4 linked regions of the Nothobranchius furzeri genome follow. Each later gene encodes a partner of the first gene's protein in a complex. Links are inferred from orthologs where the notes say so. Each region holds a gene or a part of one and is shown on either strand. Other genes may lie near its edges. The genes, in order: sptssa, sptlc3, sptlc1 and serine palmitoyltransferase 2.

What was found.
Region 2: sptssa (region 1) and sptlc3 share a complex: the UniProt entries of both Homo sapiens proteins name them as parts of the serine palmitoyltransferase (SPT) complex. The link is inferred for Nothobranchius furzeri from reciprocal best matches to the Homo sapiens genes SPTSSA and SPTLC3.
Region 3: sptssa (region 1) and sptlc1 share a complex: the UniProt entries of both Homo sapiens proteins name them as parts of the serine palmitoyltransferase (SPT) complex. The link is inferred for Nothobranchius furzeri from reciprocal best matches to the Homo sapiens genes SPTSSA and SPTLC1.
Region 4: the proteins of sptssa (region 1) and serine palmitoyltransferase 2 are in contact, whole or in part, in a cryo-EM structure (PDB 7K0K), measured with the Homo sapiens proteins. The link is inferred for Nothobranchius furzeri from reciprocal best matches to the Homo sapiens genes SPTSSA and SPTLC2. Residues at the interface, in NP_612145.2 of Homo sapiens: Trp15, Tyr18, Gln19, Leu21, Leu22, Val23, Thr24, Ala25, Tyr27, Met28, Leu29, Glu30, Pro31, Trp32, Glu33, Val36, Phe37; in NP_004854.1 of Homo sapiens: Leu73, Gly77, Val80, Leu81, Phe84, Leu87, Arg88, Leu91, Leu126, Arg129, Ile130, Tyr156, Met475, Pro476, Ala477, Lys478, Gly480, Ala481, Arg484, Glu485, Asp533, Leu534, Leu535, Gln536.

Annotation. Positions count from the first base shown.
Region 1 is NC_091758.1:7,745,176-7,750,943, reverse strand, and holds the start of sptssa (serine palmitoyltransferase small subunit A), read left to right. Parts: upstream 1-1,902; 5' UTR 1,903-2,130; coding exon 2,131-2,233; intron 2,234-5,768. Other genes in the region: eapp (E2F-associated phosphoprotein), read left to right, coding at 1-200. UniProt on the Homo sapiens protein: Component of the serine palmitoyltransferase multisubunit enzyme (SPT) that catalyzes the initial and rate-limiting step in sphingolipid biosynthesis by condensing L-serine and activated acyl-CoA (most commonly palmitoyl-CoA) to form long-chain bases.
Region 2 is NC_091752.1:1,176,809-1,182,282, forward strand, and holds the start of sptlc3 (serine palmitoyltransferase 3), read right to left. Parts: upstream 3,593-5,474; 5' UTR 3,012-3,592; coding exon 2,919-3,011; intron 1-2,918. UniProt on the Homo sapiens protein: Component of the serine palmitoyltransferase multisubunit enzyme (SPT) that catalyzes the initial and rate-limiting step in sphingolipid biosynthesis by condensing L-serine and activated acyl-CoA (most commonly palmitoyl-CoA) to form long-chain bases.
Region 3 is NC_091746.1:34,122,174-34,127,810, forward strand, and holds the end of sptlc1 (serine palmitoyltransferase 1), read right to left. Parts: intron 3,999-5,637; coding exon 3,881-3,998; intron 3,545-3,880; coding exon 3,471-3,544; intron 1,688-3,470; coding exon 1,597-1,687; 3' UTR 1,127-1,596; downstream 1-1,126. UniProt on the Homo sapiens protein: Component of the serine palmitoyltransferase multisubunit enzyme (SPT) that catalyzes the initial and rate-limiting step in sphingolipid biosynthesis by condensing L-serine and activated acyl-CoA (most commonly palmitoyl-CoA) to form long-chain bases.
Region 4 is NC_091758.1:39,063,228-39,068,251, reverse strand, and holds part of serine palmitoyltransferase 2, read left to right. Parts: intron 1-3,042; coding exon 3,043-3,169; intron 3,170-5,024. UniProt on the Homo sapiens protein: Component of the serine palmitoyltransferase multisubunit enzyme (SPT) that catalyzes the initial and rate-limiting step in sphingolipid biosynthesis by condensing L-serine and activated acyl-CoA (most commonly palmitoyl-CoA) to form long-chain bases.

The sequences.
Region 1 (5,768 bases):
ACAAAACCAAGCAGCTGAGGAAGCAAAGAAAGCGGAAAAGAGGACAGAAAGTCGAACCCCCTGCAGATGCACCAACCAGCTCCACGGACCCTGATGAGGTTTACCACCCAGTCACATGTTCTGAGTGCTCCACAGAAGTGGCTGTGATTGATAAAGATGACGTCTACCATTTTTTTAACATCCTTGCCAGCCACTGTTGAGGTCGACTGAGGGTGCTGTATTGTAGACTTTTTTATTTGTGCCATCAGTTTCCCTCTCAACGCTGAAGTTTGTGCTGCTCAGAGGAAGCTAGTGGTGAGGGATGCTGCACTACCACTCATCAGAGGGTTCTCTTCTCACCTTGCATCATGTATTATTTTAGTTTTCCTGGTTGAGGTGGACACTCCTGCTGTGGCCAAGAGGACTAAATCTTTTGATCTGAATGATCTCAAACAAGTCATTTAAACCATCCCATGTCATTCCTAATTTAAAATAAAAATACTTGGATAGACAAAGGAGGGGAAAACCACAGGTTTTGTTCTGGTTTTCTTTTATCCTTAACACCACGTCATTACCACGGATGCTGCTAGTCTCTTGAATTGGAAGGGTGGTGAGTCTCTGACTCAAGTGGAGAAGTTTGAGTGTGTTGATCTCATTCCTGAGTGATGGTAGGATGGAGGAGAGATGGACCAGTTGGTGAGGGCTGGGTCTTCAGCGATGAAGGTGTAGCTCTGGTCAGTCACAACGAAGGAGTTGAACCAAAGACCTGGGACGTGGTTCATGACCAAAGATGGAGTCGCATGTAAATAAATGATAAATGACCCGCACTTGTATAGCGCCTCTCAGAGTAAGGACTCCAGAGCGCTTTACACTACAGTGTATCATTCATCCATTCACACACACATTCACACACTGATGGTGGTGAGCTACGATGTAGCCACAGCTGCCCTGGGGCACACTGACAGGCGAGGCAGCCAAGCACTGGCCCCACCGGTCCCTCCGACCACCACCAGCAGGCAAGGTGGGTTAAGTGTCTTGCCCAAGGACACAACAGCAGAATTCTCTGTCTGGAGCTGGGATCGAACCTGCAACCTTCTGATTACTGGACAACCCGCTCCACCTGTTGAGCTACTGCTAGAGCATAGAGGCTGTTTTCCATAGCAGGTGTGACTTTTGCATCTTGTGGTGGATCTGTTGGGTAAACTGGGAGCTCAACAGGAGCGGTGTCAGACCAGATGTTTTTCTGGATGTGTTGCTGAAAAGTCCAGTTGTTGTTTGTTTTGTTAAGGTTCTTGTATGAAGGCTCAGTAAAGTCTGCACCCTGACCTACTGGGTATTGGGCAAATCATGCAATGTGAACATATATTCAGCCAGCCGGTTTTTTTTTTCTGTTACTGACTGCACCTTTAAATGTGGATGCACCAGGTAGAGAAGTCAGCTAGTCTGAATATTACAATGCTAATATCCACTTCTGTTTCTCATGTGCAACAAAACCCCTAAGCTCACAGACCACAGGTGCACCTGTTCAGAACGCTAACTAGCCAATGGCTGCTTCTAGATAGGGTGAAGATGTTACCAGACAATCTGGTCCCACAGCCATCTCTGGGGTTTACAGAGAATGATTCAAATTGATCAACAATCCAGTGAGCATCTGTTGTATGGATGGCATTTATTTTTTATGCCAAGAGAAGTCTGGGAAGTCTGATTTGAGATATGATATAAAAGTCAGAAATAACCACAAGAGACAGGAAAACCATTAGCTGATCTGATGATCTCAATTTCAGCTGCAACATGCAGTCAGAATCGGACGCATGGCATCTGCATCTTGCCCAGGGACACTCATGTTTATGTTGATGTATTAAGGGGACACTTTTGTCCAAAGCGACTTACAAGTGCTAATGAAGCCACCAGGTAGTCCCTGAGGCTAACAACAAACACTAATCAGTCCTAGGTGGTAATGAGGCAGCTAAATGAGCGACAACGTACTGTGTAAACGCACCTTGTAGCACTGTCTCTTATTTTGAAAACCGGAAGTTGTGGCTCCCGTGTTGCGTCAGAGGCGCGTATCGGAAGACGGAGTTGTGATTGACTGATTTTACCGACGTCACACTACCAGGAAACAGTAGCAGAAAGGTAAGGGAAGTTGGGACCATGGCCCTCGGAGACTGTTGGAAGCAGTTGTCCTGGTTTTATTACCAGTATCTTCTGGTGACTGCGCTCTACATGCTGGAGCCCTGGGAGAGGACCGTGTTTAGTATCCTTTTGTGTGTCGGACACCCAACCGGGAAGTGCGTAGAAGCTAACGCACTAGCAGAAGCTAACATAGCGTCGAATTCCAATGCTACAACACTTTGTTTTGAGTAAACTGAAGTGTCTTTGTGAACGGAATACGACATTTATCAAATGTGAAGGGTTTCGTGATAAACCATGTATCTGAACGATTAAAGTTTATCTGGATTTTACGGTTAAAACCAAGAGAGGTCGAGATTTTAATAGCTTCAAATAACCGATCAGGTTAACCTATGAACCCATTTCCGGACAAGGCTGAAGTTCGCTTCTGATTCGGGAAATGGCTAAAGGGCCATTACACCCAATTTTTTTCTACTCTGACCATCTTTAATCTGCTCTTGCTTAAAAACTACAACACCCACACTGTTCAGACCTGTTCTAGATTATTCTACAATAATAGCAGATCGCATACAGCCTTGTTTGGGATTTGTGAAACCTTTCCCTGATTTGTGAAACTTCAGCAAAACCAGATTTATGCATTTTTCAGCACCTGCCTGACACTGGAACCGCTCTAGCTCAAGAAGTAAAGCACCTACACTATTCAAACCTGTTCTGTTCTAGATTATTCTACTATAGTAGCAGATCAAACAAAACACAGTGTGGGATTTGTGAAACCTTTCCCTGATTTATGAAACTTCAACAAAGTCAGATTTATGCATTGTTTAATGTGGTTTGATTGGCTTCCTGTGCAACTGCCTGATTATAAACTTAGCTTAAAGTTAAAGCAATTTGTGTTTGATTAGTGCTTTCTTTCTTGTAGTAATGCTTCCCCACAATAAATTATAGTGCTGGAAAGGCTGTTTAGTCACTATGAGGTATTGGACTCTTCAGACACCCAGAAGCTTATCACTTACACCAGTTTCTTGTAAAGCTAACTTGGTGGCTGCTGATGGGAGACATGTAATGGTGCGTTTTCTCCTCTTACAACAACTTGGATTAGAAAAATGTTTCCTGTAAACATTTATTTAATCACCATTCAGTCACACACGCTTTAACTGAATCCAGTGATTGTCTGCAGCAGCCTCCAATTCCTGCTGGAATATCTGAATATCTCTGCAGAATAGGGCTGTCGCGATCGAGGAATTCCCCCTGCGGTGAGTCAGGGCAGCTCAATATTGCGATATTATTGCACCCCGTTTTTATTTATGTACTTAGCAAATTTGTTTGTTAATTACTAAACTCATGGCAATATTTCCTTTGAAACATTGTGCTTACACATTTAAAAAAATGTTAGAAAAAAATACATGGCCATTTTTAACACTTTATTGAATGCAGATCAAAGGGCAGTAACGGCATTCTCTGACTGAACTTAAAAACAATATTCAGGAGGTTTAACTTTGAAATGCAAATTTGGCTGCAACATCTAACCGAAATTAAAAAAAGTGCCCTACTATGTCCTCGATCAGCGCGGACTTTACCTCTCAGCATGCGCTGTCGCGAGATTTAATCAAGTGCGGTAATTGCGGTGGCACGTCATGCAGCGCGGTGGGTTTCTTAATATCGCGATATATTGTTCTTGCGATTATTGCGACAGCCCTACTGCAGAAATAACCACGTAAAGTAGCATGAACAGTGGGTTCACATCAACTACTCGATGATTGTTTTTAAGACTGCATCAGACCTCTTTGTGGCTCATAAATCCAGTCAGAATTAAATAGCTTTTTAATGACAACACAACAAATAAAACCTTTTTTATTTCAATCTGACTCAGATCACTTTCATAATTCAGGAGTCGAGAAGCAGGAAGACCTACTAAATGTAAACGAACAACACACATTATCGTTATTTTCTTGGATCTGAATGTACGACATCGTCTGAGCTAGGGTTGGGCGATGGGACGAATGAATGCTGTTACAGGAGGCGATTTGTTTGCCCATTAGTTTGTTATTGACAGATATTTTACATGTTACACACAGAGAACATCGCAGCGGTAACAATCAAGAAAAGGTCTCCATCCATGCATCAGAGCGTTTTCTCACCTCCTTCGCCTCGCTGCTGACAGTGGGCGTGCAAGCGGCTCGCTGAGGAGGAGCTCGGAGAGCGTCTGTCTGTGACGCACTCGACGTTGTGCACAGCAGCTCTGTGTCGAGTGGAAAGTGGAAACCCTTCCGACTTTCAGATAGTCTAGAAGACCTGGTTATTTCATTTGGAGAAATGTTTCCTGATTTAAAACTTTGGCTTAAGTAGCGCTCATCGTTATTCAGCACCTGCTTTGAGTGCATCAGCGGAGCGCAGATTCATCCAGAACAACATTTAAACAGAGTCTGTCTGAGGCAAAAGTCCACAACCTCAAAACCTCTACAGCAAGCTCCTTAGGGGCATCTGATCAGACCAGGTCAGGTTCACGTGGAGCAGAAGGAATGTACGTTCGGGCCACAGCAGGTCAAATGCATTGTTTATGTTACTGGGTCACTCTGTTCAGCTTGTTTGGACTAAATATTAATTAAAATAATTGGAAATTTAAGAAACGATTATTCATTATTTTAAAAATGAACGTGATAAATACATAAATGGATCGTGCAGCCTTTGGCAACGAGCAAATGCTGCCTCCTCAGAGTGCGTCCAAACGCAGCGGCGATTCATTTCATTTTCTACTCGTATAAGAAAGCAACCCAGTAGCCTGTGTTCAGAAATAAACATGTTATAGCACAGCGGTGGGCACCACAGGGAAACAAAGACACGGCTTCTTTTTAACATTTTAACCGTGTGTAAAGTGACTGGGGCAGTAGGTACCTAAATCACTGCAAGTAAGACCTTACTAACGGATGGCCATTAAGGTCAAAAATCTCTGGGAGTGCATCCTCCAGCAAAATGACAAGAACATCTGGATCCCTTTAATCAATCGCAATGACTGTCAAAGGAGGTGGAAACCACAGGTCACCTCCAATGACAGAATGCAGAGGTAAATGTGTAAACGAGCATTTATTAATGTTGAAAGTTTTGTAGTTATTTGTTACAAATCAGCAAATGCTTTTTGTCCTCACGGGCTCCTGTAGAAGGAAACATGGCATCCATCATGGCGTCGCCCGCTCCCATGTATTTTAGAACAGATTTTATGGTTATCTGTTATGAAACTGCCAATATTTTTCAACAGCCGGGCATCTTTTAATTCATTTACAACATTCTGATGGATATTTCCAGAAATTAACTCATTCACTGCCAGCCGTTTCCTGATCGGTAAAGCCGTTCACTGCCATCCTTTCTCACCGTTTCTTTAAGTCACAGAACGTTGCGCGCTAGGATGACATCGACGCCAAAATAACCAAAACAAAGAGTAAACCTCTTACATCAGGAAGAATGTGCGTTTCGAGCGTTATCCATTCTTTCATAATCCGTTGTTGAATTGTGATCGGCAGAAGCTTTTCTGGTTTGCGCCTCACTTTTTTTACAGCAACAGCCCAAACAATCTCCTAACTCATGGATTTTCTGATCACGTGACCTGTGACGTACGCGGACGAAGATTGGCTTTAGAGCTGAGATGTTTTTTCTCACGGTGCGGG
Region 2 (5,474 bases), on another chromosome or scaffold:
ATAATTATTGAAATCTCTATAAAAATGTAGAAAATATATTTTAAATGCAGCCCTGGCTATTTTACACCATCACTTTATGATAAAACTAGTGTGTGAAGCGACTGGGATGAGGATCAGCACCTCCAAATCTGAGACCATGGTTCTCGACTGGAAAAGGGCGGTTTGCCAACTCCGGCTCGAGAGAGAGGTCCTGCCCCAAGTGGAGGAGTTTAAGTAACTCGGGGTCCTTCTCACGAGTGAGGGAAGGAGGGAGCGGGAGATCGACAGGCAGACTGGTTCAGCGTCTGCAGTGATGCGGACGCTGAACAGATCTGTCGTGCTGAAGAGAGACCTGAGCCAGAAAGCCAGGCTCTCAATTTACCGGTCGATCTACGTCCCAATCCTCACCTATGGTCATGAGCTTTGGGTGATGACTGAAAGAACGAGATCGCAGATTCAAGTGGCCAAAATGAGTTTCCTTCACAGGGTGGCCGGGTTCGGCTTTAGGGATAGGGTAAGGAACTCAGACATCCGGGAGGGACTCGGAGTGGAGCTGCTACTCCTCATCATCGAAAGGAGCCAGTTGGGGTGGTTCGGGCATCTGGTCAGGATGCTTCCTGGACACCTCCCTCGAGAGGTGTTTTGGGCATGTCCTGCCGGCAGGAGGCCTCCTGGTCGACCCAGGACTACCTGGAGGAAATACATCTCTCGGTTGGCCTGGGAACGCCTGGGTGTCCCAGCTGAGGAGCTGGCGGATGTGACCGGGGAGAGGATTGCCTGGGAGGCCCTACTTGGGATGTTGCCCCTGCGACCCGGATGAGCAGGAGGAAGGTGAGGGGAGGTGAGGTGAGGCTGCGTTACCAGACTTGTTTTTTATCGATTCTCTGCAAATGTTGTTTTTTGTCACACTCATAAGAATGAAATAATACCACACTGGTGAGGCACTCCAACATTTTTTGCGGGCAATTTCTTCCATCTCTCCTTGCTGCAACATCTTGTTTAATTCCCATTGCTGTCTAGGTTTGGGGGGGGGGGGGGGGGGGGGGGCTTGGTGACAGAGCGTGCTTGGGTCTGTGTTTTTGATTGGTTGGGTGGAAGTAATGACTCCAGTATGAAGCTACCAGATAGGCTATAATGGAAAATGGAAACTTTTTATCAAAGTTTTTATTGATCCATTTGTTTCCTATTGCACAACATGTCTATTGATTAATATATTGAATTTTTGTCCCGCTTGTTTAGCTTAATTGTTGTTTCTGACATAGGAGTGCCCAGTCCTGGTCCATGAGCACCGTTCCGACCCACCTGATTTTAATAAGTAGGTTCTTAACAGACTTCTGCAGAGCTTGGTGATCCAGCCACTGGAACTGGGCGTGTTGGAGCAGGGAAACAACTAAAACATGATGGATAGCAACATTCGAGGAGCAGGTTTACACATCTTTGGTCTAAACAAGGGGTGCCCAATCCTGGTCCTGGTGGGTTGGTATCCAGCTTGTTTTGGTTCTTTCCCTGCTTCAACACACTTTGTTTCAATAAGCAGGTGATTAACAAGCTTTTGCAGAGCTTGAAGAGCTGCTGAACAGGTGATTCAAACACTGAATCATGGGTGTTGGAGCAGAGCAACAAATAAAGCAAGCTGGATAAAGTTAAAGTCCCATTAGTCATCACACACTGGTGAAATTACATCTCCGTATTCGACCCATCCCCATTTGGAGCGGTGAGCTGCAGCAGTGGCTGCACTCAGGAACTATTTTGTGGTTTAATCCCCAAATACAACCCCTAAAGCTGACTGCCAAGCGGAGAGGCATTGGTTCCCATTTTGTAAGTCGTTGGTATGACCCGACTAGGGGCTCCGGCCAATATGTGTCCTTAGTAAAGCCAATTTAAAGTCAGGCACTTCCTTGGGCAGCCCGGTGCTTTTGCAGAATTTAATTTAAATGTACTTTTACATTCACTAATAACATCTGCATGATAAATACTCTATATTAACTTTATTTAGATGTCTGACTTAAACGCTGACTTTAACAGATAAATTCAGAGTTCAAATACTGATTCAGCTTCAGACATTGTGGTGGACTGGAGACTTGTCCAGGGTGTCCCTGCTCTCGCCCGATGACTGCTGGAGTTAGGCGCCAGCTCCATGTGACTCTACTGGGGGGTAACCAGCTCAGAAAACAAGAGAGTGATTTGTGTGAGCTGCAACAACTGCAGAGCTGCGATAAATTAGCAAATGTTTGACAAAACGTAAGCGACAAGGGCATTACATATATGTATTAATAACGGTAATAAGATAAATAATAACAATAATTTAAACTGTGAATCTCCTGAAATCATTTTCCTACACAGATCATGTTCAACTTATGACTAGAAGAGTGAAGATGGGAGTGAACTATTGAGGATATGTCCCATCAGAGTACACAACAGGCCTATTATTCAGCCCTCTGATGTTGTTGAGATCAGGGTGCAATTGTTTTATACTAATATTATTTATAGGAACATATAATTGCTTTGTAGACTGAGAATAAGTCATCTATTAAGCAGAACAAGAGGGTGGACTGAAGGAAGCAGAAACTAAAGCTCAGCTGCTGCCTGGAGGCAGAGAATTTGTCCTTTGGGAGAGAAGAGGCAGCATTTCAAGGTGGGGTCACAGAATGTGTGTGTGGAGCTTTTCATGAACCCGACATTAAACACTGTTAGTAACCACTGACCGAAACCAGCCACCCTGTTTGGTCTCTGCAGGAGGATATGCTAAGTGTATCCGGGAAAGACAAAGTTTAATATGTTATGTCATCAAGGTCAATTCAGGTGAGAAACCGCAAAGAAAACCCCGCACTCACTTCCCAGGTGAGGAGTAGGCTACCTGCCGCACCTTGATAAAGTATCACATAAGGCAAGAATTAGGGATTAGGAGAGAGACAAATGAGAGAGAGCAACACGCGTACCTCTCTGGGGTTATGAAAGCCATTTCCCACCAACTCCTCGGTTTTCAGTCCGTTCGGTTGCGGTTTTAGGTTCCCCTCGGCGGTTCTGGCCATGCTCACCGTCACAGCTCACAGGTGCGACTGTCTCTTTGCGACTCAAGGAAGCAAACGACACGGTGAGCCTAACCGAACTCCCAAAGTTGACTTCCTCTTTCTGTTGTGTCGGTTCAGCCTCCCCTCACGCGGCTGCAGGCTTCTGTACGAAGGTCTTTCCTCATTCTTAATCGATTTCTGTTTCGATGCAGAGCCAGTTCAACTTCTGCTCGTTCTAGAATGAAACTCAACCCTCTAACTTGACATGTCTCATCCAGTTTAGATGTTTCCCATCTTTCCTGCGTCACGTGAACGCAACAGATCAGCAAAACAAAATCTTCAGTATTTTACTCTGAACAGAGTGTTATAACACTGCACCTATTTATTAATTACTATACAACTATAAATATTTAATATCATTTAGGCTGTATGAAATGTAGTATATTAACAAGTATAATTTAATATTCTCACTATTTCAAATATTTCAAATATGAAATAGGTTCTGCTGGCACATTTCCAGTTATTTCACATTAATTCATGTTTATTAGTTATTTGTAATACTTAAGTTGTTAGATCAACTAAGATGGGTTCCATTTGTGTTGCCCATTCACAACCCACGTACCCTTAAAACATAGCCTATTTGGGCTAAACTTGGTTAACCCAAGTGGGTCCCAAATTAGATGCCCATTTTAAGCCCATGTTCTCTTGGAACAATAGCTCAAGTACCATGTGGGTCCCACATACATGTGTTTGCTAGGTGAGCTAGGGCTTCTGTTTACGTCAAATTTCAGTGTCAACATTAAAATGCTCATCATCTAGAAAAGGCTCTGGAAAAAATCAACTTTTCATCCAGCAAGATTGATAAGCTAATGGGTAGTAATATGACACCATCTGCTCTGACATCAAAGCGTCATGAACGCCTGTGTTGCTTTTATTTAATTCACATTCTCCCCACATTTAATTTTACATTAAACATGTATTTAACCCTCTGATGCAATAATTACGAAATCTTCAACCATGATTTTTTAACAATTATTTTCCTTCATCTTCTGGTGTGAATGAAACAAATTTCAACAAATATTTTCTGTAACATTTGTAATGTTAGATAAATAGTATATTTGGTTAAGTAAATTGCTTTAAGAACTATTTATATTATTAACACTACTTGAGACCAATAAGCTGTAATACTCTGTTTAAATATAGAATATCACCTTTCCTGTTCTTTATCCGTTTAGTCAGAAGATTCTAGGATTATTTTATTCATTAAGGGATCGTACATTCTTCGTTTTGATTCAAGAAGCAGGCAGGTTTATAAAAACTTAAGAATCTATTTTACAAACAATTAAGACTTGACAAAATGTTTGAACTATTATTTACTGTGAGTGGATGCGAACTAAGGATGGTGTCTGGAACTTATGTGTGAATATAATGTAATGGAGTCAGAATCTCCGTTTCTCAGAGAGCTGAGTTCTGGACGTAAAAGAATTTGGTTTGCAAATAAGCTATGAAGTTATTTTCAAAACCACATACAGACGCTATCTCGCTGTGTTCTACCTCACCCGTTCTGGAGACCCCCGTTTGGATCCGAAATGTCAAGGAGCCGACGACCCCACTGCGCTTGGTTCATAGATAAACCTCCATGCGACCAAATCAGTCCTGGGATGTCTCCGGGTCACAACGATAGATGAAACCGAGCGTCTTAAAAATAACTCTGAAGGAGTTTGCGTCAACTTTGTACTGCAGGAAACTATCTTGTCGTTCTCAGCTTCACAGGTGCGAAAAAGGTTTAAGGTTTTGACAACATGTCAAAATCCTTCTGGTTAAAGAGGTGCTAAAGATGGCCGGTCTGAAGCTCGCTCTACAACTGACAAATTACTCCAAGCCATCTTGTTTTAAGGAATCGATATTCTGATCTGGCCAGCCAATCAGGGGCTGACAAGTTTGAGAGATGTTCCCAAGAATCTCAGAACACACCCTCTTTGATATGGAGACTATGAATCTGGGCAAAAGGTTAACTATGTGTTATGCGTTAGCTTAACCTAACTCTGTCTTGTATGAGTGCAAATGGTGATGACCTCATTCAGTAAACATGCTAAGCATATACAGGTGCTGGCCAGTAAATTAGAATATCATCAAAAGGTTGAAAATATTTCAGTAATTCCATTCAAAACGTGAAACTTGTACATTATATTCATGCAATGCACACAGACCAATGTATTTCCAATGTTCATTACATTTAAATTTGATATTCATAAGTGACAACTAATGAAAACTCCAAATCTGGTATCTCAAAAAATTAGAATATTCTGAAAAGGCTGAATATAGAAGACACCTGCTGCCACTCTAATCAGCTGATTTACTCAAAACACCTGCAAAGGCCTTTAAAAGGTCCCTCAGTCTTGTTTTGAAGGCACCACAATCATGGGGAAGACTTCTGACTTAACAGCTGTCCAAAAGACAATCATTGACACCTTGCACAAGGAG
Region 3 (5,637 bases), on another chromosome or scaffold:
TGGTCTACGTTTCATACCGATTCTATCAATGCTCAGTAACACCACTGGCTGTAGCTTTCTCATTGATCGAGTTGCCTGTAGGACAAAAAACAGGGGTTATTTTCACTTTAGATCCTAGCTGATTTCCGGTGTCTCGCAAATATGGAACGGGATGAAACAAGTGTGAAATAAACGTCCAGGGCTAGTTTCCTTTTGTTTTGAGAGATTAATGGCTCAATTCCTCGACATGTTTGTTTCAAAGTAACTGGAGCTAAAATCTAAACTTTGATCGGAAGTCATTCCAGGGGCACTGGGGGCTGAGCTGAGCCCCACAATTCTTACATTTTAATTTGACTGCTGTTGAGTTTTAAGTCATTTTAGGAATAGACTAAAAATGATGCACCAGTTATTTACCCAGTCTTTTCTAAAAAGGTGTAAAAATTAGGACAATAAAATTTACTTTTTGTCATTTAATTTGAACAAAAGCCCGGAGGCTAAAAATGTTGCAAGCAGTAACAACTTGAATCAGCTCACAGCTGAGTTTTTATTTAATTTAAATTCTTCCTGGTGAACAAAGGCACACTGCTTGGATTGCAGCAGTACAGCTCTCTTTCCAAGAGGTTTGGTTGTAAAAACACTAATAGGCTCCTGGAAAAGACTGTGAATTTGGGCCAAAGTTCTCTATTATTAGATGATTTCATGTATTTATATGAACTTTATTTAATGAGTTCATACCAGAAGAACAAATTAATGTAAAAAATATTTAGATGGAAGGTTGAGGCAGAAGTTAAATAACTTACTGAAAACAAGGAACACCTGTTTAAACTGAAATCTACTGCATCAAATATGAGGACAATAAAACAGGTTAAGTCTGGCTGGACTGCAGCAAACGTCCAATCAAATAATAATTGTCATCGTTTCTACACAAACACATTGAACTATTACGCTGACAGGAAATGATAAATGATCAAATCTATTAATTGTAAAACTATAAAATTCTAAAAAAAAAAAATAGACAACGATTTGGAGAATTTGTTTTGTTTTTTTAGAGTCTTTCCATTTTACAATTTCCACAGCACTTTGTTCAAACACTAATTTAATTTATTTTTATTGTTCTTACTGAAATGAAAACTCAAAAGACAAACTATTCAGAATCAGAAACTTTTATTGAAAGTCAGAAATGTACTGACCTCCAACAGAAGATCATTGGAATCAACAGAAAATCAGAATGAGTGGGTTCAGAGTTAGATTTGTGGTTTGTGCTAAATCTCAATGACACAACAAAAAACAAAAACAACAACAAAATGCCAGAGTACACAGCCCGTGCACTCTGCAGACATTTAACAAGCACAAAGACAGATCTTTGGTCAGAACTCGCTTTGGTCTGAGGAGGGCCCTCTGAAACATTCTGTCTCTATTGTTCCTCGACAAGAAAGAAAACAAACACAAACAGGACGAGTTCATTAGTTTTACATTTAAATAAGTAAAATATAAAACTATTCTGGAGTGCTGATATAAAAACATCTTTAGTGGTGGAGGAGAACATCTGTGTTTCCTCACATTAACCTTCACTGTAAACAGCTGCTCCTCTTCATCGGGGGCAAACATCACACATCATTAAAGGAAGATGGATGCTGCCTCTCTGATACAAGACACAGCCTTCTGGATGTCTTCATCCGTCTGTTTGATGGTCACCACCACTCGGATACTGAGACAAACAGGAGGGGGAATGTATTTTAGATTCACCCTGACACCATCCAGGTCACTGCTTCACCTTTTGACCTCCTCTTTCTCAGGGTTTCTAATCATTTAGACATCATCACATTGCTGGTGAATGACATTTTCAACTTAAATCTAATGAAAATTACTTAGTATGCAACATATTGTGAATGAAAGTGTCAAGACTATTAATAATTAAAGTAATGGGTACAATTCACTGATTGTTCCATACCTGACTTATTGTGTAGAAATCTGGGGAGCAACATTCAAAAACTACACACAACCCTTATTTATTTTACAGAAAAGAGCTCTGAGAATCATCAATTATAGTGGCTGTAGAGATCTATCGAACCCATTGTTTATTAAATATAAATTACTGAAATTTCATGATTTAAAAGACGGAAAAATCTTACAAACCATGTATAAAGCCAATTTAGGTACTCTGCCAACAAACATTCAGGGGATATTTGAAAAGAGAACTAGTAATTACACGCTGAAAGAAACTGATGTGTTTCCAAAACCTAGATTTAGAACTAAAATTAAGGGTGGAATATGTCTGTAAATGGTGTTAAATTATGGAATAACCTTAAAAGGGAAATTTAAAAAACTCTGTCACTTATTTTCAAATATGTACCAAACTGAGTGTACTAACTGATTATGAAAATGTAAATTAAATCAATGATCATGATCGCACTGGAATTTAGAACAGGAAAAAGTTTAAAATGAATCCGTATGTGTGTCTGACAACTGGAAATTGTATATAAATTGATTATTTCTTCTGGAAAAGGAGGCAGAAATTATAAGATTTTTTTCTTCATTCTGCTCCTTTTCGTTCAAATTTGATTTTTTGTTATGTATTTCTTATTGTTTATATGTTTTATTTTGAATGAAATAAAAAATAAAAAAGGCTAATTTTACTTTTAAACAGGAAGTCTACATCCATTACTGTTCCTTTCCCTATAACACTGGGTGAGGGTGTAAGGGACAGTCTGAGTCACGCCTAAAGTCTCCCATGATTAAACTGAGTATTTAGGTCTCTGCCATCTAGTCTATTTTAAAAACAAAACTGCATTTGGACTGTTATTTAACTTATTGATCATTGAACATTTGTTAAAGAAAACATTTCACAATAATGGAAAAATGCTTAGATAGGTCTCCTGTTAAAAATAAACACTTTTATAAAACCAGACTGAAGCAAAAGATGCACACAAATGAGGTCAACTAATAAAAAACACACAGCAGCAACAGTTTTGCAATCCGAATAGAACCCAGCAGTGAGTTGTCAAATGCTATCCGTTTTTTGTTCTTTTCTTAAACAGTTTTAGTAAAATATAGTTTTTCACCTGACATGTTTCAGCTAGTATCTCTAGCAGTCATTAGAGATCTCTGAATAGATCCATTCTCATAAACACACCTGCCAACACTTTTTACTCTGAGACGTTTAGATGTGGACGCATAAAGAAACAAACCAGCTAACAGATATGTTGATCCTGGTTTAATCATAAGGCCTGTGTCACACAGCTGCTCCCCTGATTTACCCGTCTGTGTCCCGAACCTCAAGTCTCACTCAAGCCTGTAGTCTTAGTTTTTGCAACTTAAATGTGACTCGAGTTACTTCTAGTTCAGAGTCTCATCAGTGACCTGCATGCCTCACCAATGTTTTTTAGAGACATGAGGGAAGAGCACTACTGAGCAATGCCAAGTTAGACATCCACGAACTAAAACAGCATAATACTGATGAAATAAAACACCTGATAGGGACAGCCTCTTACCTGGGAGGGGGGAGGAAGCGCTCCTCTTTTTCTAGATACCTGGCGACTGTCAAAGCAACATTTCTGTCTAAACACTGAAAGAGAAAACATAAAACCTGATGAGAAGAGAGTCCGGTCTCAGTCTGCCCCAGTAGTGAGTGAGGTAAATGGTAAAAAATGTTGTTTAAAAAAATACAATAAGTCACTTAACCGCCTACCAGATACTGGATCTGTTTACTCATGTAAAAACAGAATCTAGAACTGTAGTTCTGTGTCCAACAGCCTTCAGATTTAGAACAGTACAGGTCTAATGTCATGGTGGAGTCATTATAAACATGAATCCATTCATGAATATTATATTTGTTACTAGTCGCATCAGCAGCAGCATGTGACTCAGGCATACAGATCCATCTGAAACAGACCGGACTTACATAGTCAACAACAGAGCGGAGCCGTTGCAGGTCAGTGACTCTGGAGCCAGAACCTCTCTCCAACTGTAGATGAAGAGCTGGAGCAAACGACACTCCCACTACCTTCAGACTGGGGATTCTGTTGAACACAGTCAACACGTCACAAGTCTAAACCTGTTCCAGGTCAACACGTCACAAGTCTAAACCTGTTACAGGTCAACGCGTCACAGGTCTAAACCTGTTCCAGGTCAAGGCGTCACAGGTCTAAACCTGTTCCAGGTCAACACGTCACAAGTCTAAACCTGTTCCAGGTCAACACGTCACAGGTCTAAACCTGTTCCAGGTCAACGCGTCACAGGTCTAAACCTGTTCCAGGTCAACACGTCACAAGTCTAAACCTGTTACAGGTCAACACGTCACAAGTCTAAACCTGTTACAGGTCAACACGTCACAGGTCTAAACCCGTGACAGGTCAACACGTCACAGGTCTGAACCTGTGACAGGTCAACACGTCACAGGTCTAAACCCGTGACAGGCGAACATGTCACAGGTCTAAACCTGTTCCAGGTCAACACGTCACAAGTCTAAACCTGTTACAGGTCAACGCGTCACAGGTCTAAACCTGTTCCAGGTCAACACGTCACAGGTCTAAACCTGTTACAGGTCAACGCGTCACAGGTCTAAACCTGTTCCAGGTCAACACGTCACAGGTCTAAACCTGTTACAGGACAACACGTCACAAGTCTAAACCTGTTCCAGGTCAACACGTCACAAGTCTAAACCTGTTACAGGTCAACGCGTCACAGGTCTAAACCTGTTCCAGGTCAACGCGTCACAGGTCTAAACCTGTTCCAGGTCAACACGTCACAAGTCTAAACCTGTTCCAGGTCAACACGTCACAGGTCTAAACCTGTTCCAGGTCAACGCGTCACAGGTCTAAACCTGTTCCAGGTCAACACGTCACAAGTCTAAACCCGTTAGTTCAACACGTCACAAGTCTAAACCTGTTACAGGTCAACACGTCACAGGTCTAAACCCGTGACAGGTCAACACGTCACAGGTCTAAACCTGTGACAGGTCAACACATCACAGGTCTAAACCCGTGACAGGCGAACACGTCACAGGTCTAAACCTGTTACAGGACAACACGTCACAGGTCTAAACCTGTTACAGGTCAACATGTCACAGGTCTAAACCCGTGACAGGCGAACACGTCACAGGTCTAAACCTGTTACAGGTCAACATGTCACAGGTCTAAACCTGTTACAGGTCAACATGTCACAAGTCTAAACCTGTTACAGGACAACACGTCACAGGTCTAAACCTGTTACAGGTCAACATGTCACAGGTCTAAACCCGTGACAGGCGAACACGTCACAGGTCTAAACCTGTTACAGGACAACACGTCACAGGTCTAAACCTGTTACAGGTCAACATGTCACAAGTCTAAACCTGTTCCAGGTCAACACATCACAGGTCTAAACCCGTGACAGGCGAACATGTCACAAGTCTAAACCTGTTCCAGGTCAACATGTCACAAGTCTAAACCTGTTCCAGGTCAACACATCACAGGTCTAAACCCGTGACAGGCGAACACGTCACAGGTCTAAACCCGTTAGTTCAACACGTCACAAGTCTAAACCTGTTACAGGTCAACACGTCACAGGTCTAAACCCGTGACAGGTCAACACGTCACAGGTCTAAACCTATTACAGGACAACACGTCACAGGTCTAAACCTGTTACAGGTCAACATGTCACAGGTCTAAACTGTTACAG
Region 4 (5,024 bases), about 31 Mb from region 1:
GGTTCCTAGTACAAGGTTTGTCATAGGGTAAACATTGTTTCTTTAATTCCTTAACAGTGGCTTCATGTTGAAACTCCACAATAATCTGATCACAGTTTGGTAACTTAATGCGCCTGTTAACTGGTCCGAATCCTTCCATAAACCCAAAGACTTCGTTATCAAGGTCTGTATCAGTTAACCCACTGATTAAAACAGCATTTGAAACTTTGACCTTTTCTGTTTTCACAACTTCCATTTTAAAACACTCAAAAGTACCAATAATGCCAAAATGGCAAACCACTGTGACCTCCAGGCACTCTTATGATGTCAGTCAATGGTTAGCTAAGGTAACAACTCTACAATTCTCCTGGCTGGCTCGCCAAGTTTTATGTAACCGGATTACAGGATACAATAAGATAATTAAAAGAAAAAATAAACAAATGGGCCAATAATTAGGTTCGGGGAGAATTGGAGGTTGTTTAAGAATGACTGGAGTCACGGGTATAGCATGAAACGGTTTATATACTAAATTTTAATAATAATGGGAAATATAACACATAAAGATAACACACAAAAACAGATGAAAACAATCGACAATAGTAAAATGGTCGGTATGAGATTTGATCATATGAGTCACAAGTCAGCCGGCGTCAAGTCAAATCCCCACGCTTGGGGTGAAAGTCAGAGTCCGGTGGTGCGATTTTTTCCTACCACACCGTTGAGATTGTTCACAGAAGAGAGCAGTCTGCTCTTCAGTTACTTGAGATGTCCTGGTTCGTTCAGTGGTTAAGGCTCGCCATCTCCCTCGTCAGGAAGAAATCCAGTTCTCGTTCCAAGTGAGTGATCATAGGAGTCGGGATCAAACCCAAGGAAAAAAAAAACCCCAGCCAACGCGCTCCAACGGTTCCCTCCTACAGAGGATTGGTTCACTCTGTCGTCTCCACACAAATCGCGTTGGTTCCAAGTTCCTAGCTCTTATTAGAAGGAGTCAAGTCCGCCTCTCCCTCTATCTATGCGGCACCCAAATCAGGGTTCTTCACGGCCTCGACCGTTGTTTTTTTTCTCTCTCTCTCTCTCTCTAACCGCTCAGTCTTTGCTTTCTGTATCTGCGTGCTGCACAGCCGTTTGTCTCTCCTCTCGCTCAGCTGCGTCGCACGGTTTTATTTCGCGGAGGCGGGACTTATTTCTCTCAGCCAATGAAATTTCAGATTCCCACCTGGACCAATAGTATACAGCTTTCCTCTTCTGTTTCTGTTAGTGATGTTCAAGATTCTTGTTTTAACCGATGTTTAATATTAAACTCGTTATTTTAGTTATTCACCCTTCCAATAATTCATTATGAAATTATCTATTAGTTAATTAGATATCTATTAATTAGTATTGTTAATTTCCTTAATTTATATTTTATATTTTATCTAAATTGAGGATGGATCATATTAGTAAGCCAATTAGTTAATACCTCATTAAGGTTCTAGCTTCTGGGTTACACAGCCAAACTGAAGAAGCCTCTGACTGAAGACACTCTTCCGTTGTCGGACATGTTGTGAAGAGAATGCTCAGGGTTGTCCATCATTTTCTTGATTCTCTGGAGAATCATTCTTTGCATTATCTCCTCCAGCAGTTCCACAGTCGTCCCCAGAACAGAAGCAGCCTTTTTTATTAGGCTGTTGAGCCTTTTCAGGTCCCTGCTTCTGATGCTGCTACCCCAACAGACGATGGCTGAAGAGATTACACTCTCAACAACAGACTTGTAGAAGATCTGCAGCATCTTGCTACAGACATTGAAGGACCTAAGCGTCCTCAAGAAGTGCAGTCTGCTGTGTCCCTTCTTGTAAACGGCTTCGCTGTTCTTTCTCCAGTCCAGTCTGTTGTTCAGGTGAACTCCACGGTGTTTGTATTCCTCAACCACCTCCACTTCTTCTCCCATGATGGAAACAGTGTTTGACTCCACCCTGTTTCTTCTGAAGTCTAAAATCATCTCCTTTGTTTTGACGTTCAAGGTCAGATGATTGTTTCCACACCATGCCACAAAGCGCTCCACCAGCTCTCTGTACTCCCCTTCCTGTCCATCTCTGATACACCCGACAACTGCAGAGTCATCTGAGTATTTCTGTAGATGACAGGTCTCTGACTTGTACTGGAAGTCTGAGGTGTACAGGGTGAAAAGGAATGGTGAGAGTACAGTACCCTGTGGTGCTCCAATGTTACTGATCGCCTGGTTTGATGTGCAGTTCTTCAGCCTCACAAACTGTGGTCTGTTTGTCAGGTAGTCTTTAATCCAGGTGATAGTTGAGGCCCCCACCTGTGTCTTCTGGAGTTTCTGGCAAAGAACATCAGGCTGAATTGTGTTAAATGCACTGGAGAAATCGCAGAACATGACCCTCACAGTGCTGCCTGCTTTGTCCAGATGGCAGTGGGTTGGTTGAAGCAGCTGGATGATGGCATCTGATGCAGAAAACATTTTTATAAGCAGTGTATCGATTTTTTTTCTATTGAGAAATTACATGTAAACCTTTATTTTATTTCATTTGTGTGGTGCAATTAAAGCTCAGACAGCTAGGTGGCAGCATTTTATTAACAGAACACAATAATCATGTGTCTTGGAGGCGTCTAGCCGGAGTTTCCTATTTAAATTTAGTCTTAAACATTACATCAGGCTCTTGGTATCATGATATAGCAATGCACCTCCCTACTAGTTAGGAGTTTCAACTGGAGTTAAAAAGTTTGAAAAGGTTAAAGGAACGGTGTCGAGGTTTTTTTAACCTACCAACAACTCAGTCAACTCTTTATTTTAAATGTTTGTAGATCTGAGATACTAAATGATTTTAACAGGGTCAGGGTTTTCCATGTTTTACTGCTGGAAGAACACATCCTTTCAAAATAAGAGTTCAGCGTGTTCTCTGCTGCTTCAGGATGTCCATGTTGGTTTTATTTATTCTCGATTTATCTTCTTTAATGAACCGTTTAAACGTATTATTGGTGTTGGTGTTATTGCTCAGCAACTCACTAAAGCCATCAAGAAAGCTCATCTTTAAGGAGGATTTTCTGTCTTGTCTGGTTCAGGAGCTGATCGACTTCCTGCGCTCCAACTCTCACAGCGCCGTCTACGCCACCTCCATGTCTCCTCCTGTGGTGGAGCAAATCATCACTTCTATGAAGTGCATTATGGGAGAAGATGGAACAACGATAGGTACGGTCTGACATGCCTCATTAACATTGGTTTATGGTTTATGTCACAGGGAGTTCAGCAGAATCCGATTTTACATCAGTTATGTGTTTTAGTCTGATCTGAATAAACCTTTATTCTGAAAACAGTTGCAGAATTATGTCATTACTAATGATAACAGACTCAGAATCTGTTGTAAGTCTCATCCTTCACCACCAGGGGGCAGCATCACCCTCTACAACAAACCTCACTCATCTGTGGTGAAAAGAAGAAAACACTGTCATTAATGTAATTTTTATTTTACATTTAAATTAAGACTTTCATGCAGATTTTATGTTTTCTGCATTTATTTTAATCCCTGATTTAATCTAATCTGTGTATTGAACCTGAAACGGTTTTATCATGTGAGTCTTGGCTGCTGGTTGTTTTGGTTTACTTGTTTCTAAAAGTCTGAGTATAAAATGAACTTTTTCCAGAGGGAAGCTCGGCTCGCTCTGCATTCATTAAAGCCCCGTGTGGAGGTGCGGCTAAATTTACGAGCCCGCTGACGGTTTGTTTGATGTGAACGCTCGGCCTCCTGTGGGAGCCGGAAATTACATTTCAGAGAAAAGGCGTGATCACCCAAAGGTGTCTGGATGCTGTAACTCTGACATCTTCTCACACTTAGAAACACGTTCAGCTGCTTGTCAGACGTCTGCTTTCATCTCCTGAAAGAACCAACAACGTTCTACTGAATAATTCTCCTTTTTAGCCTCTCGGAGAGCTCACCTGTAGAGGAGAACCGACTCGCAGCACCCATAAATCACAGGTCCATCACTGATGAGTCGTTTTTCTGTGAACATTTGTTTATTCAGCGTATCGAAGTCACATAATCCCATATTGTTGTGTTTGATAAAGCAAAAGCGTATTCAGCCCAACCTAATTCTTTTTTTCTGTATTTCGCTTCATCTCAGCTTTCCTTTAGGCAAAATATAAAAATATCACTATAAAGATGTTTGTTTCTGAAGAAGAGACAATATTCCCAAACACACACACTTCCTTTTCTATCTGCGACAGGGGCGCTTCTAGGCCAAATTTTCCAGGGGGCCACAGTGGGGCCAGTATTTTTTCATGGGGGCGCAAGAAAAAAAGGGAAAAATTAGGGCAATATCAAAATTCTTTTTTGTCGTCGCCATATGACTAATTTTGTGCTTGTGCACAATTTTGCCAAAGGAAATTCGTTTATGTTGGGAAAATAAACTGTATTGCTTGCCTTCGTCTCTTAGCGTCTTTTCCGTTAGTCGTCCTCAAGAATTTCTTTGGGTCCCATTTAAACTATTTTTAATCTTAAATTCAAAATTCCACCGGTTAAACAGTTCTGTCCACAGAGTGTGCTGCGCTCTAAAGGCTCCGTTTGAAACGCTGCAGCGCATTAGTTCCCGTCTCCGAGGCAGCGCGGGGGGAAAAAATCTGATCTCTTCAGCACAAGGGCCATAAAGGGGCCAGGGCCGGTTCTGTAGGGGCCCAGGCCCCTGTGGGCCCCTGTTTAAAACCGCCAATGATCAACCACGGGGTTGCAGTGTCTGCCCAGAGTTATGGACGGTATGTTGGCCAGTAATGGGAGCGACCCTGGGAATAAAATCTTATGGGAGCAATAGCCCACGGAGAGCAGGAGCGGTAATGCAGACTTGCCTCTTTCTCAGCCGGTGTGTTTTGACTTCGTTCTGCCATCTTTGCTTCTTAGAATGAAGAGCGGAAGTGTGTGTCATATGTGAGGCTTGACAAAATAAGAGCATGCATTCAAAGAATTTTATGAGCCTAAAATAAAGTGAAACACAGATTTAATTATTTGTTGATGTGATGATATGAAACGTTTTTACTTTTATGAAGGTACGGCATC